Linked DNA regions of Astyanax mexicanus. The protein of the gene in region 1 purifies or fractionates together with the protein of each later gene. This does not show direct contact. Links are inferred from orthologs where the notes say so. Each region holds a gene or a part of one and is shown on either strand. Other genes may lie near its edges.

Region 1 (7,330 bases):
CAGGAATCAAACAGCGCTGCAAAAGTAGCCACGTGCCGAAACCACGTAAAAAGTGAGCTGCCAAACAGAAATGACAGAAATGTACAGAAATTAAACTTAAAATGTTTCAGGTTTTAACAGATTACAGCACAAATCTGAGACTATTTTAGAAAATGACTAACACAGCCTAAACAGTACTTCTATTAACAAGATACATAATATTAAATGTTAAATTTAGGCAAGATGCAGACAATAATGTGAAAAGAATATACAATATAGACCAGGAATCCTGTCAGACATAGGCAACTAGCTCAGCTATTTTAAGGCTAAAAACCCAATATGACTAGTTGGCAACAGTGCTAACGTAAGCATGTTTTCTAATGCTATACTAATGCATTTTGCCTAAACCTGTGGGAAACATTAGCAACCTAGCTAGGTAACCTAGGTTGCTATAACACTATATTAAAACAGCAAAGAAATATTAAAAGATTAACTTTAAACTCGATAATTAAATAATAATGTCACAGATTAGGGTCGAACACGCGAAGAATCCTGTCAGAAAAAATGATCGTTAGCAACAGTGCTAACGCAGGCATGTTTTCTACCTTAGCTAGTCTATATTACATTATATCAACAAGCGACACAATATTAAATAGTTTAGAATAAGTTTTACGCTGTATAAATATATAATATAAAAAATGGAGCCTTACGGACCAGAAATCCTGTCAGGAAAAGGACCATTTAAAAGCTAAAAAGCCAAAATGACTAGTTAGCAACAGTGCTAGCTCAGCTTAACGCAGGCATGTTTTCTACCAGAGCTCGTGCACTAGGAAAGCTAGCAAGCAATGCTAAGCTAACGTTTTCGTTTTCTGGTGCCTACGTTTAAACCTGTGGGAATTATTAGCAAGCTAACTAAGCTAGCTAGCTCACTTGTAGCAAACTATATGACAGACCAACGAGCTACGCAATATTAAAAGATTATATTTAAGATAAATTTAATAAACAGACAATAATGTCACAAATTGGGGTCGAACATGCCAATAATCCTGTCAGAAAAATTATAGTTAGCAACAGTGCTAACGCATGCATGTTTTCTACCATAGCTCGTGAACTGGCTAACCTACCAAGCTAACTATCCTGACAGAAAAAAATATATTAAATAAACATTAATTTTCCTTTTCTAATGCATTAAAACAATATTTTTATCCAGCTTCAGGACTGATTTAGTTGTGCACACCAATCATACGTTGATACAACGTTATGTCTGTTTTATATTGAACTTTACTTAGCTACATAACTAACTTACAACGTGTAACATAGGTTGTTATATCGTGTAAATCGCAGTCTAAATAGACATTTAAACAATAATAATTATTATAATTAATTATATAATATTAACTTTCTCTAATAATTATATAATAATTTATTATAATAATTATAATAATTATTACTATTAAAAAAATAATAAAAAAAATATTATTTGAGAAGAGCACTAATATAAGCTTTTATCTAAAAGCATTAATGTGAGAGTAGTTAGAGTAAGAGCTAGAGTAAGAAAAGTCACAGCCATTTAAAACCTTTAAATGAACGTAGATTCAATGCATCTTATGTATGAATTTTTACACGAACCCATGCATTATTTTAGGCAATGGTTTATAAAGGTTGTTTAGATGTTGTTTTCCCATCAACTCTAAAAAAGGTAGGTAATGCAACGTTATTTAAATATTAAATGTTAATGTTTTATTTGCTCGCAGGGTGGTTCCACTGACAAACAACTACTAATCCTAATTTTAGCTAGCAGCATTAAGAACAAAGTGACAGTATATGTATCTAGAACAGGTAGAATTTGTCCAAAAAGTCAATATATGTATATGTATTTAGGAACACATTTAGCTGTAGCAAGCCACCTAACTAAACCCCACGCTGGCTACTCGTCCACACAGGTGAGGCCAAACATCAGCATCATACTCAACCACATGGCAGCGACTAGTCTGGATCAACCAACCTAGCTAACCTAACACATACACCAAAGCATAACATATATAAACTGATTATTCGTCCATATATAGGTTAATATGACCATATTTATATTTCCCTACGACACTAAAAGATACGGTGGTACAGGTATAATTATAGGTATAGATATTTAGCTAAAACACAGCGCTGCCTGGCCTAGCTGCTGCTTCCACAACTACTACTGCCTTACAGTGTACGAACACGGTGTTATGTCAATATGTGCTACCCCGCCAAAAACTGCTACCATAGTGTATTATTGAAATGTATCTAATATAGCTACTAAAATACGACAAGAATATTACACCATATTAAAACAACATGCTGTTTTCAAATATTTAAGTAGGATATGTGGATAGTTAAAAAGAATCTGAATTAAAGTAAAAGTTAAAACATTACTTTAGTTAGAGGTAGAGGTGATAATACAATACACATATATTAAACTGTTCAAGCAAATAATGACACTGGAGTTTTTTAAACTCTCTATAGCATGATTTTCATATTTGTTGAGAAAAATAATAAAATAATAATAATAACGATAATAATAATGATAATAATATTAATAATAATAATAATAATAATATTAATATTAATAACAATTAGAAGAAGAAGAAATACCACTGCTTGTCATGTTAACCTTGTTATGTAACTGCATATTTATGTTGCCCTGAGGCAAAACAAACGAATACATAAACAAATAAATAAACGCATAAACAAAAGATACGGTTTTAGTAAGACAATGAAAACAAAATAGCCAAAATATTAATAATTAAAAAAATAATACACATTGAAATGACAATGCAATAATATATATACATAAAGCAGCACCATGATATTTAGGTTTAATGAACCCAATGAAAATTATAGCTAAATCATTTATCATGGAGAAAACATTTTTTCTTCACAAAAATAAACACACCAGCGCATGCGCAGTGTAGGTAGGGAGCACATTTTGACGGGTAGCGCAATTTGACGCAACACCCCGGATCCGCAGCTGCGCCGTGTGCAGTACTGCACCACCACCACCACCCCGCCGCGGGAACGGGGGTTTCTTTATACCGATAAACCGAGCACGACACGAGCCGTTCACTGGAGATAACGTTGTGTAGATGTTTTAGTATGGGTTAAAAACACCGTACTGTACATACCCATCCGCGGAGCAGCCGGAATCGTTCAGTCTGCGGTACTATAAAGACCATCGGCGGCTCTGAAGTCCTTCATTTTGTTGCGCTCTCTCCCCCATGCTGCATTATCTGAGGGCGGGGCCTCCAATGATGAACGGAACACACCAGCCAATCAGCTGCGGGGAAAAGTCTGACGCGGCGCTTCATTCATATTTCTGTTGACCAATCAGAGGACGAGACTCAGCCAGCGACTGCTCTGATCACGTTTTCTTGTTTACTATGCTATAGGACATAATGTCCAAAAAAATAAAATTTAAACACTATAGTTCACTATATATATACAGCTCTGAAAAAATAAGAGAGCACTTAAAAATGATGATTTTCTCTGATTTTACCAAATTGAAAACATCTAGAGTAAAGGCATAAGGTTATCCAAAATCAGTGTGTAAGACTGGTGGAGGAGTTACGGTGGCCGAGAAAGCCCAGCGCAGTGCAAATTGAAAAGCGCTGCAAAAGCACAAAACACATCCATCAAAATTACAACACAGGCGCAGCAAATAGAAAAACGCGCTGCAAAAAGAAAAACGCGCTGCAAATAGAACCACAACACAACGGAAGTGGGTCACAACACAACGGAATTTTCCCGGGGGACCTTAAAAGATGCTGTACCAGCTGTATACAAAGGACAATAAGTGGCAAACAAGCTTCTGAAAAGTAAGTTATGTTTATTAAAAGTTCTGCTTCACAAAACGCCTTGTTTGCCACTTTTTGTCCTTTGTACACATAGTGAAGTCCGAGATGTTACTGAAGACGCAGCTTAGCTGGTACAGTATCTTTTAAGGTCCCCCGGGAAAATTCCGTTGTGTTGTGACTCACTTCCGTTGTGTTGTGGTTCTATTTGCAGCGCGTTTTTCTATTTGCAGCGCCTGTGTTGTAATTTTGATGGATGTGTTTTGTGCTTTTGCAGCGCTTTTCAATTTGCACTGCGCTGGGCTTTCTTGGCCACCGTACTACAAGATGCATGGAAAAAACTGTGATTAAAAAACAGGGTTATTCCACCAAATATTGATTATTTCTGAACTCTTAAAACTTTATGAATATGAACTTGTTTTCTTTGCATTATTTGAGGTCTGAAAGCTCTGCATCTTTTTTGTTCTTTCAGCCATTTCTCATTTTCTGTAAATAAATGCTCTAAATGAGAATATTTTTATTTGGAATTTGGGAGAAATGTTGTCTGTAGTTTATAGAATAAAACAACAATGTTCATTTTACTCAAACATAAACCTATAAATAGTAAAATCAGAGACACTGATTCAGAAACTGAAGTGATCTCTTCATTTCATCAACTTAAGTGGTCTCTTTGTTTTTTTTTTCCAGAGGTGTATATACACGTGAGTTTATATTGGCTGTGTGCCATATCATATCGTACACAATAATATTGCCAACATTTTTTAATATGGTGAACGATATTATACCCTGAAATATCGTACTATATCACCCACCCCTAATTAATTATCACATCAGGGCTCTACTTTTATACTGTTTTTATCAAAAGAAAAATTCACACTGTTCTCATTTCCCATTATGTATCTACTACAGACAGATTATATCTGTCCAGTATAATTTATTTTACTTTAATCCTGAATATATGGAGATATTTGAAGTGCATTGTTATTAGTATCATGGCATTCTGGATCATTGACTTCTGTTACAAATCTGATAAAATTCTTGTATTTTTTATATCTCAGTTAGGGGTACGTCATATATCGTATTGCAATTATAAAATTAAATTTTTATTTTGTTGCAGTAGTGCATTTTTTATTTTTTATTTAGTGTTTTATCGTATCGCCAAGAGTATTGTTATTGCAAAAATACCATGAAATATTGTACAGTACCGACACAGTACAGTCTAAATGTGTTTATTGAGGGGGGGTTCAGTTCCGTCTCTGTGTGTTGAGGAGTCTGACTGCCTGGTGGAAGAAGCTGTTGCAGTGTCTGGTAGTGGAGGCTTGGATGCTCCAGTATATTCTCTAAAACACTCTAGTCAAATATGTTTATACATACACACAATAAGAGTCCTTGGGCAAGACTCCTAACACTAAATTGGCCCAACTCTGTAATAGGAATAACCTGGTAAGTCACTCTAAATAAGATCATCAGATAAATGCTATAAATGTAAATGAAGTAAAGTAAAATTTAAGTCTAAAGTTGCTATTTTTAAATATAAAAAAGTAAGGAAAGTCTATATAGAGGTTTCAACTTAACAAAAAAGAAACAATATAATGTATATCACACAAAATCCCAAGACTCCATTAAGTGCTTTTCTTTTCCTTTATTTAAAACTGTTAAACCAACATGAATAATACAGAATTATGAAAGGCATGCACAGGTTAGCTCTCAAAGTCTTCCCAAGTGGTTCCAGCACCGGAAATCTCACACTTATTTATTTTTGTGATACTAAAAAAAGAAAAACAAAAAAAAAAACATTCAAACATTTGAAAAACAAACACAGTACAGGAGCATAGAAATAAAAAATACTAAAAAAACAATACCATGATATACAAAATGACTACATTAAACATAGGCTTCACAACCTTTTCCACACAATTGACGTTTGAATGTTGAATGTTGAAGATTATCGGACTGAAAGACTGGAGGAATACTGGAAATTATAAACATTAATCGCCTCAACTCTGGTTTAACTCTTAACAATAAAAACACAAAATTATAGAAAAATGTAAAAATAGGAATGGGGAAAAAGGGTATTCTATTTTTATTGTGTGAAAAAACAAGATAATGGAATGTTTAGATATAAATTAGAAATGTTTGTATATATATATTACAACATACATAAACTAGCATATCACCAGATTGCATTATTGTCATAAATTTTAAAGGCGTCCTATAGTAACATTACTTTACATTACATAACTCCACCTCCCGAATAGAGCATTTATCTAATCATTATCATCTTAAAAGCATTTAGCATGGATTAGATAAAATAACTATTAGCAATTTTTCATGCTTGCTGTGATTTAATTACCTCCCAAATATAAAAAATAGAAAAACGCTAAAAGTGGTACTAGCTTTTTTTAAAAATGTATTTTCTCTACAGCGTAAGGTCACAGCCAGGTGCTACTGGGGACTCAAAGTGCTTAAGAAAGTCCGAGAACTTCACCTCTGCCATATCCTTTCATCTCGTGTTATGTAACAGGAACTGTGGTGTAAAAGTACTAAATACAGGTGAAGAAGGGCAGGATTATGTTAAAGGGTCCGTAGCAGTGTTTAGAGGCCTTTCTAAAGCGAGCTCTGGAGTGTGCTGCTGTCTGCAGGTTTACGGATCCTCGATGTCCATGAAATCGGTCTTGGGCGGGGCGGCGCCGCGGTACCAGGCGCAGGAGTTATCGTTCCTCTTTATGCAGGTGTAGTGCTGAGTCTGGGGACCCGCCACAGTGCTCTCCGTGATCCAGTCCGTCCATAGACACTCTACTGGATCATTAACCGCACAGGGAACAGAGGCACAGCGAACGATCTGTCAGAAAACGCATGAGAGAAACAGACGTTACAATAAAGTACAAAGATTAGAATATTATATATCGCATTTGCAGAGTTTCCTCTAACATTAGGATTTTAAATGCCAAACAATGACTGATTTATTTTGTGTTATATAACATCAGAAATAAGGATACAACGAATATTTGGTAAACGGAAACATTTAGACAAAAAAATGGTAAAAAGTATTTCCTCTAACTAGGAATTTTAGGACGTTTTGAAGGCAAACTATCAAATCAAATCATCAAATCAAATTTATTTGTATGGCGCTTTTTACAACTGATGTCAAATTAATCTGTGATCACATTGCTGTAAACTGCTTTGTGACATCATATTGCAGCATTTTCTCTTACATTAGAATTTTTTAAAAGTCAAACAATGACCGATTAATTTTATGTCATATTGCAGAGTTTCCTGTAACCTTACGATTTCTTAAGTTAAACAATGACAGATTTATTTTATTTCATATATTTCAATGTTTTCTCTAACAGTAGGATTTTTTAAAAGCTAAATAATGACAGATTTATTTTGTCATATTGCAGCACTTCCTCAAACATTAGGATTTTTTTAATCCGGACAACTACCAACTTATTTTACGTCATACTGCAACATTTCCTCTAACATTATTAGGATTTTTTTAAAGCAGCAGCTGGTGTTAACAA
Region 2 (7,292 bases), on another chromosome or scaffold:
GAAAAATGACCTATACAAGTTTATTCTGGAATTAAGTTGATGTAAAACACATGACAAGCTCCATAGCAAAGGCAATTACAATATTTCTTAATACAGGACAGCAAAATAAAGTAAAACAGATTTAAAATTATTTACATTATGAAACATAATATAAATGCAGCCCTAATCTTAACCACCCCAAACTATACCTGAACTTCATTTCTGCCACGTTTTCACAAATGAATCATGATTGAAGCCATAATTTATGTGGGAATGGCGATTTAACGCTTTAAATCGCTTTTTAAAAAACGCTTTAAAAACGTTACAGGCACGGGAGCTTTATTAGTGTATATTTACGTTAGATTTATTTAAAACAAAAAGTGTTTATACACGAAAATTGACATTTTTTGCGTCACACGCGACTCAACAGCTTCAAATGTAGTTAGATAGTTACCCATCAGAGCTAGTCTAGCAGAAAGTGAAACTAGAGAACTAACAAAGCGTGCAAATACTCGAGCAGACCCCAATTAACTAACACTAACTCAGCTAATGCTAAAAACCGATTAAATTGATTAATCAGGTTGTTTAAGAGTTGAAACGACTAATAACTGAAACTGATTCATTTCGGAAGCTCAAACAAGGCCGGCGAGTCCAGCTCAGTTTTAGCTTCAGTTTAAGATTTAATTCGGCATTTTATCCTGCTCTGATTTGACTTATAATCCATTAAAAATGTTTTTAATGAAGTCAAATGTTTGTTTTATAAGCTAAGTGTGATTTAAAGACAGTTTAAGCTCGGATTTCTCCAAATCGCGCTGATTCGATTCGATTTGAGTCGAGTTTAGGCGCTTTGAGCAGCCTCCTGGCTAGCCTAGTTATTAAAATTCCGTTAAATTGACGCTTCTAATCTATTTTAATACAGGAAAGCAGCCGATTATCCATTTTAATCGCGATTTATTTTCACTTTGGCGCGATTATTCAGCCCGATTGTACCCGAATTCGAGTTTTACGGCTTTATCTGCCGCATGATGCTAAGCTAAAGGCTATGCTAAGCTAAGCTAACTGTGGCCACGGTGGCCTAGCCTAGCCGTGGTTAGCTTAGCCGTTAGCATAGCATGGCGCTGCTGTTCTCCTGCAGCGCGCGGAGCGGCCCGCGCGAGCGGACGGGCTCGCGGGTACTCACAGGGTCTTGGGCTGGTCGTCGTCCATCATGCTGCGGGCTGAGAGCGCGGGAGCGGCGGGGAATCGGCGGGGGTTCTGCGGGTCCGGGCGGGTTGATCTACCGGCTCCGAGTCTTTTGTGCTAAAGAGAGAAAACGCCAGAATAACTTCCTCTAACCTTACTGGAGATACGTAGCCGCGTGACGTCGCGAGCCAGGCCGGCCAGCCAATCATATGCGCCACAGACTCCGGAGCGGCACGCCGATATCGGTGTACCGGCGAATCCTGCACCCCTCCGTTTTCCTGCCTGTCGCGATCTGATTGGCTGAAGCCAACGATTTCCTTTTGTCTTTTGTACATGTAATTTTTGTAATTAATTAATTAATTCATTCATTCGTTATTATTTTTTTTTTTATAAAAAGCTAATTTTAAAAAATCATTGCACCAGAAGTAAAGCAGCATAAAGTTATCCAAAAGCAGTGTGTAAGACTGGTGGAGGAGAACATGATGCCAAGATGCATGAAAAAAACTGTGATTAAAAACTATGATTATTCCACCAAATATTGATTTCTGAACTCTTAAAACTTTATGAATTTGATTTTTTGCATTATTTGAGGTCTGAAAGCTCTGCACATTTTCTGTTATTTCAGCCTTTTCTCATTTTCTGCAAATAAATGCTCTAAATGACATTTAGATTTGGTGAAATTATATTTTTATTTGGATTTGGGGAGAAATGTTGTCTGCATGTTATAGAATAAAACAACCATGTTCAAAAGTCAAAACCACTAATTGGTAAAGTAACAAAGGTAAAAATTAAGTAAAAATGTTTACACGTGAAATACTATAAATAAATATGATTGTGCATAAAAGGAAAAGAAATCAAATGGAAGAGAATATGTCGCTCTTTAATGACAATATTTTGTATTTTTCTTACTAAAATATTGTTTTTTTTTATTATTTTTTGCCTTTGGGTCTAGAGCATACAGTTAGACCACATTTGTTAGGGGAATAAGGCTAATAATGCAGTAGTAGTTATTATTTACCTGAAGTAAAATCTAAAATATGTAATGTAAATGTCAAAAATCATGCCGTATAGTGTTAATATACATTTTTATTATATAAGTCAGATTACTATATACTATTTTTGAGATATTGATATTTTAAAAATGTACAATACAGTATGACTTTGGACCTCTAAAAATAACTATTTAATACCACACATGGGTTTAAGTTACACTATGATTAATACTGCAATTATAATTAATTAAATGAATTATTTGAACATTTCCTCTTGATGCATGTTTCTTTAATCCCTGTATCAGTGTAATGGTGTGTTAGGGCAGGGAAACCCGTATATTCAGAACTCTGGAGCAGGAAAGTTTTGGGGGAAAACGACTATTTTTAATCATTCTTTGTTGTGGGAGGTTGAGGTGGCACGAGTTTTTAATCAGGCAGCCGCGACAGAGCCCCAAGGGTCCTTGGGGTGCAGTATTTGCCACGTGATGCATTCTGGCACGCCGCACCGGCAAAGAGGCGGAGTGCGCCAAAATCGTGAGGAGGCGTTCGATTCAATTTAGCGCATCGATTCTGAGTTTTTCAGTGACTCGTAGAGTCGGTTCAGATTTAGCGGTGCTGGAACTAATCAGACACATAAATTAAATAAAATATTTAAATATATTATTGCAAAAACTACTGAACTAAGTACACCTCTAGACGTTATTAATAGGTTTGCTCAATGATATTGTCATTATGTCGGTATGGGACGATAATTTTTGCTTGTTTGTTTGTTTTGGGGTTTTTTTTGCCGGCATTGGCCGATATATAAACCCGAAACTTGCTGACTTACTTATATATTGTATTTTATTTATTGTAAGAATCAAGCGATGCAGACGACACTACTACAACTGTCCGACGCTGGCCACATTCCTTTTTTATTATTTATTTTTTATTAGTTTCGATAGATCTATCATTTTATTTAACCTGTTAATTTAAAAAAGAGGGTTTAACGTTTGTGCACAGCATACTCTCAACCGGAAACCACTGTCCACCTGAAGGACGTTCTGAGAGGCAACCATACATACAAACATATGAGCTACTAAGTCATAATTATTAAAAGGTCACATTTATGAGCTACTAAGTCATAATTATGACTTTGTAAGTCTGCGGGTATTATCTCATAATTATGAGCTTCTATGTCATAATTATGATATAATAATTCAAAATTATGAGCTACTAAGTCATAATTTTAAAATGGTGAGCCATAATTATAAGCTATTAAGTCATTATTATGAGAGGGTCATACTTATGAGCTACTAAGTCATAATTATAAGATGGTAAGTCATAAGTATGAGAGAGTAAGTCATAATTATGAAATGGTAAGTCATAATTATGAGATGGAAGGTCATACTTATGAAATGGTAGGTCATAATTATAAGATGGGGGGTATTATCTCATTCTTATGAGCTACTAAGTCATAATTATGAGATGGTAAGTCTGTGGGTATTATCTTATAATTATAAGATGGTAAGTCTGGGTGTATTATTTCATAAATATGAGGTATTAAGTCATAATAATGAGATTGTAAGTCTGAAGTATTATCTAATAAATATGAGATTGTAAGTTTGGGGTATTATCTCATAATTATGAGATATTAAGTCATAATTATGAGATGGAAGGTCTGGGGGTATTATTTCATAAATATGAGGTATTAAGTCATAATAATGAGATTGTAAGTCTGAAGTATTATCTAATAAATATGAAATTGTAAGTCTGGAGTATTATCTCATAATAATGAGATGGTAAGTCTGGGGGTATTATTTCATAATTATGACTTACTTTTTCCGGCGGAAATGTGCTTCCATTAGATTCGACTCGATTGATTCACTGAAAAGATCCGGTTGAAAAGAGTCGATTCGGGCGGCGAGCTGTTAGCTGGATCTCGGAGGCTACAGAAGATGGCGGAGAGAGGGGGCCGGCCGCCTCAGAGCTGCAGAACCGGGGAATAAAAGCCTGATTTACTGAATATTCCCTGATATTAGGAGGTTAGATAGGTGGGTAAGAGTTTACACACATTTTCTACACTGTTTTTATGGGTTAATTTATTGTGAATAATTGGTTTGTCGGGGGTAAACCCGGGTTTTAGCGGGTCGGGCTAATGCTAACCTGCTGCTGCAGCTCGGGTTTAAGCTACGTTAGGATCCTGTGGATGATTACTGGCTGATTTATAAACTGAATATTTCTATATTTTTGCGAATATAGCATTAGGTATATATAAATATAATGATTTAATTAGTATATAGAGTAAATGAGAGGCTGTTTGAGCTGTGCGCAGTCATTAAATAGCTCCTGAGTTGGTTAATTTATGAATTTTGACTCCCTGTTGATTCATTTCCATATAATTTGTTTTTCATATTTGTTTAATTTAAGTAAGTAAGTAATTCATAGTGGAGTCTGTTAGGGGTTTAGATCTATTTTAAATATTGCAAAATATATTATTATATTATTTAAAAAGTAGTTATATTGCGTTATTACTTGTGCATTATGTGTATTATCTATATTTGGTAAGTATTGTTGCAGGACTGAATTTGTATATACAGCTCTGTAAAAAATTAAGACAGCACTTCAGTTTCTGAATCAGTTTATCTGATTTCGCTATTTATAGGTTTTTATAGGTATTTATAGGTTTAACATTTTTGTTTTATTTTATATTCTCATTTAGGACATTTATTTGCAGAAAATTAGAAATGGCTAAAAAAAGAGCTTTCAGACCTCAAATAATGCAAAGAAAACAAGTTTGTATTAATAAAGTTTTAAGAGTTCAGAAATCAATATTTGGTGAAATAACCCTTGGCATGTTCTCCTCCACCAGTCTTACACACTGCTTTTGGATAACTTTATGCTGCTTTACTCCTGGTGCAAAAATTCAAGCAGTTCAGCTTGGTTTGATGGATTGTGATCTTCCATCTTCCTCTTGATTATATTCCATATTCTTATTTTTTCCAAAGCTGTATATATATATATATATATATATATATATATATAATCATATTGCCGCATGGATTTATTTAAGCTAATAGGTAAAAAGCCCCCATTGGATAAGAATTACAGCATGGGTTGTTTAACCCTAACTGATGCAGGGAGTAGCTTCTCATTTGTTAACAACCATGTGAAAATAATCATTGTGTAGTCAGGGAAAAGATGTTCATCTGTTTCAGGAGGGTCAAATTATTGGCATGCTTCAATACTTCAGAGAAAATATCTAATGATTATGAGAACCATAACACTGTTACGATAACTGTGTTTTAAAGGACAATATATTGTCTCAATAATTATTGCAGAAAATTAATGTGGAACGCATTATTAAAAAGTGGAATGACAGAAGAAATGTGGTCTGAGAAAAAAGCTTGAATGTCCTAAATGTCTTAAATCATGTAAAGTAACGTACATCAATGTCTGTGTTCTCTCTGTTGACTCCTGCAGCTGTGGCAAAGGACTGCGCCTCATGCGACAGGATGGACAGTGCTTAGACGTGGGCGAGGTTTAAGCTGAATGCATTGTGATTTCCAATAATTGAGACAGTGAATTGTAAAAAGCTGTCTACATTAATGAAAAGAACAATGTAGTCAGCTTAGCATATTCACCACTGTACGAGAGGTCTGCACGTGAGCGTGGTTCAATTCTGCAGCCGGCTACTGATGATGATGATGATGATGATGGTTATGACGGTGTCGCTCTGGTTTGTGTAGTTATTTGTAGGGCTGTTTGTTAATATTATTATTATTATTATTATCTATCTGTTAGTGTAGGATTCTCCCTATTGTCCATATTCCCAGCCAGACATTTGGTGTTTATTTTAGCAGTGTTTTTATCAGTGTTAGCATTAGCGCTAGCATTAGCGTTAGCAGTTGGACGATGGACGTCAGCGAGTTCTTTCCCCCTCTCCCGCTGGAGCCCCCCAGTGACGAAGGGTCAGGGAACGGTACGTGTAAAGCACCTCCACCACCTCCCCTGCAAACGTCCAGTGACGCCGAGGACATGGACGTTAGCTCTGGTGGTGATGGACCAGCGCTCACCCCGGCAGAGGACAGGGACGCTCCCATTCTTACCAAAGGCTCCGCCTCCTTAAGCTACAAGCGAAGCATCGCAGCAGCAGCCGACGCCCCCTGCGGTCCCGGCGGTTCCTGTCCCCGGACCGCCCGCCACGCGCCCCCCGTCACCAAATTCCTCCCCGACCTAAAGCTCCTCCGAGACGTTAAGATCAGCGTGAGCTTCGGCGGGGACAGCAGCAGCAGCAGCAGCAGCAGCAGCATTAGGAGCAAGGACAGGAAGGTCCTGTACACGGGCGCGGGACAGTTAGGACAGTTAGGGGACGGAGAGCAGGACGTAGGGAACGGACAGGTGTGCGGTGAGGGTGTAGAGCAGGGGGCGGGGCAGGTGAGCTCAGGGCAGGTAGACAGGAAGAGCGAGGAGGCCGAAGTCGAGCAGGAGAACAAGGTGGAGTTTGCGGTGTTGGACGAGCTGGAGGACTTCAGCGAGAACTTTCTGGAAGGAGACGACGGAGAGCAGAGTGAGTTCACCTCAGAGATGATAGTTCAGCAGGAGCGAACCAACGAGGAGGATCTCGGGTACGCCTACGAGGTACGTGAAACGTCTCTGGCGCAAGTTTTCTTTTCTTAATCTGATTTTCGATTTTTAATCGATTTTTTTTTTCCCCTACTAAAAATTACAGACTATACAAACTACAGATGACAAAGCAATGGTTAAAAACAAGTTTAAGAGTTTTCACTTTAACTACAAAAAGGAAATTTAAGTGCAACCAGAAACAAGCAAACAAAACACAATTGTAAACAGTGAAAACATCTAGTAACTTTTAGAAAGCTTTCTCTGACATATTTTAGGTACTGACACAATAAACCCTCAAACTTAAAAAATAAATAAATAAACACACCCTCAGAAACAATATAATAATATCTTAAAACGGATCGTGATGCCTGGAAGGAGTTGGGTTTGGCGGGGGCGTGGAAGGGAGGGGCTAACTTCACTTTGCACTATGGGAGCCCACAGGGGAGCGTCGGTGGTGGAAATTAAAACGATTTTCATAAAAACACATCATCCTGTAAATTCAAATTAATTGATAAAATCGACTAGCGAAAATAA

Evidence for each region. Proteins that work in one complex are often made in the same cells at the same time.
Region 2: the proteins of usp36 (region 1) and dgcr8 purify together in Homo sapiens (affinity purification with western blotting; 3 studies listed by BioGRID, with this or other methods). This does not show direct contact. The link is inferred for Astyanax mexicanus from reciprocal best matches to the Homo sapiens genes USP36 and DGCR8.

What each region holds. Positions count from the first base shown.
Region 1 is NC_064426.1:43,489,289-43,496,618, reverse strand, and holds the start of usp36 (ubiquitin carboxyl-terminal hydrolase 36), read right to left. Parts: upstream 3,294-7,330; 5' UTR 3,141-3,293; intron 803-3,140; exon of another isoform or gene 694-802; intron 1-693. Other genes in the region: timp2b (metalloproteinase inhibitor 2b), read right to left, coding at 6,451-6,648. UniProt on the Homo sapiens protein: Deubiquitinase essential for the regulation of nucleolar structure and function. Required for cell and organism viability.
Region 2 is NC_064429.1:36,412,545-36,419,836, reverse strand, and holds the start of dgcr8 (microprocessor complex subunit DGCR8), read left to right. Parts: upstream 1-4,065; 5' UTR 4,066-4,190; intron 4,191-5,615; 5' UTR 5,616-6,047; coding exon 6,048-6,773; intron 6,774-7,292. Other genes in the region: tia1l (cytotoxic granule-associated RNA binding protein 1, like), read right to left, coding at 1,160-1,188.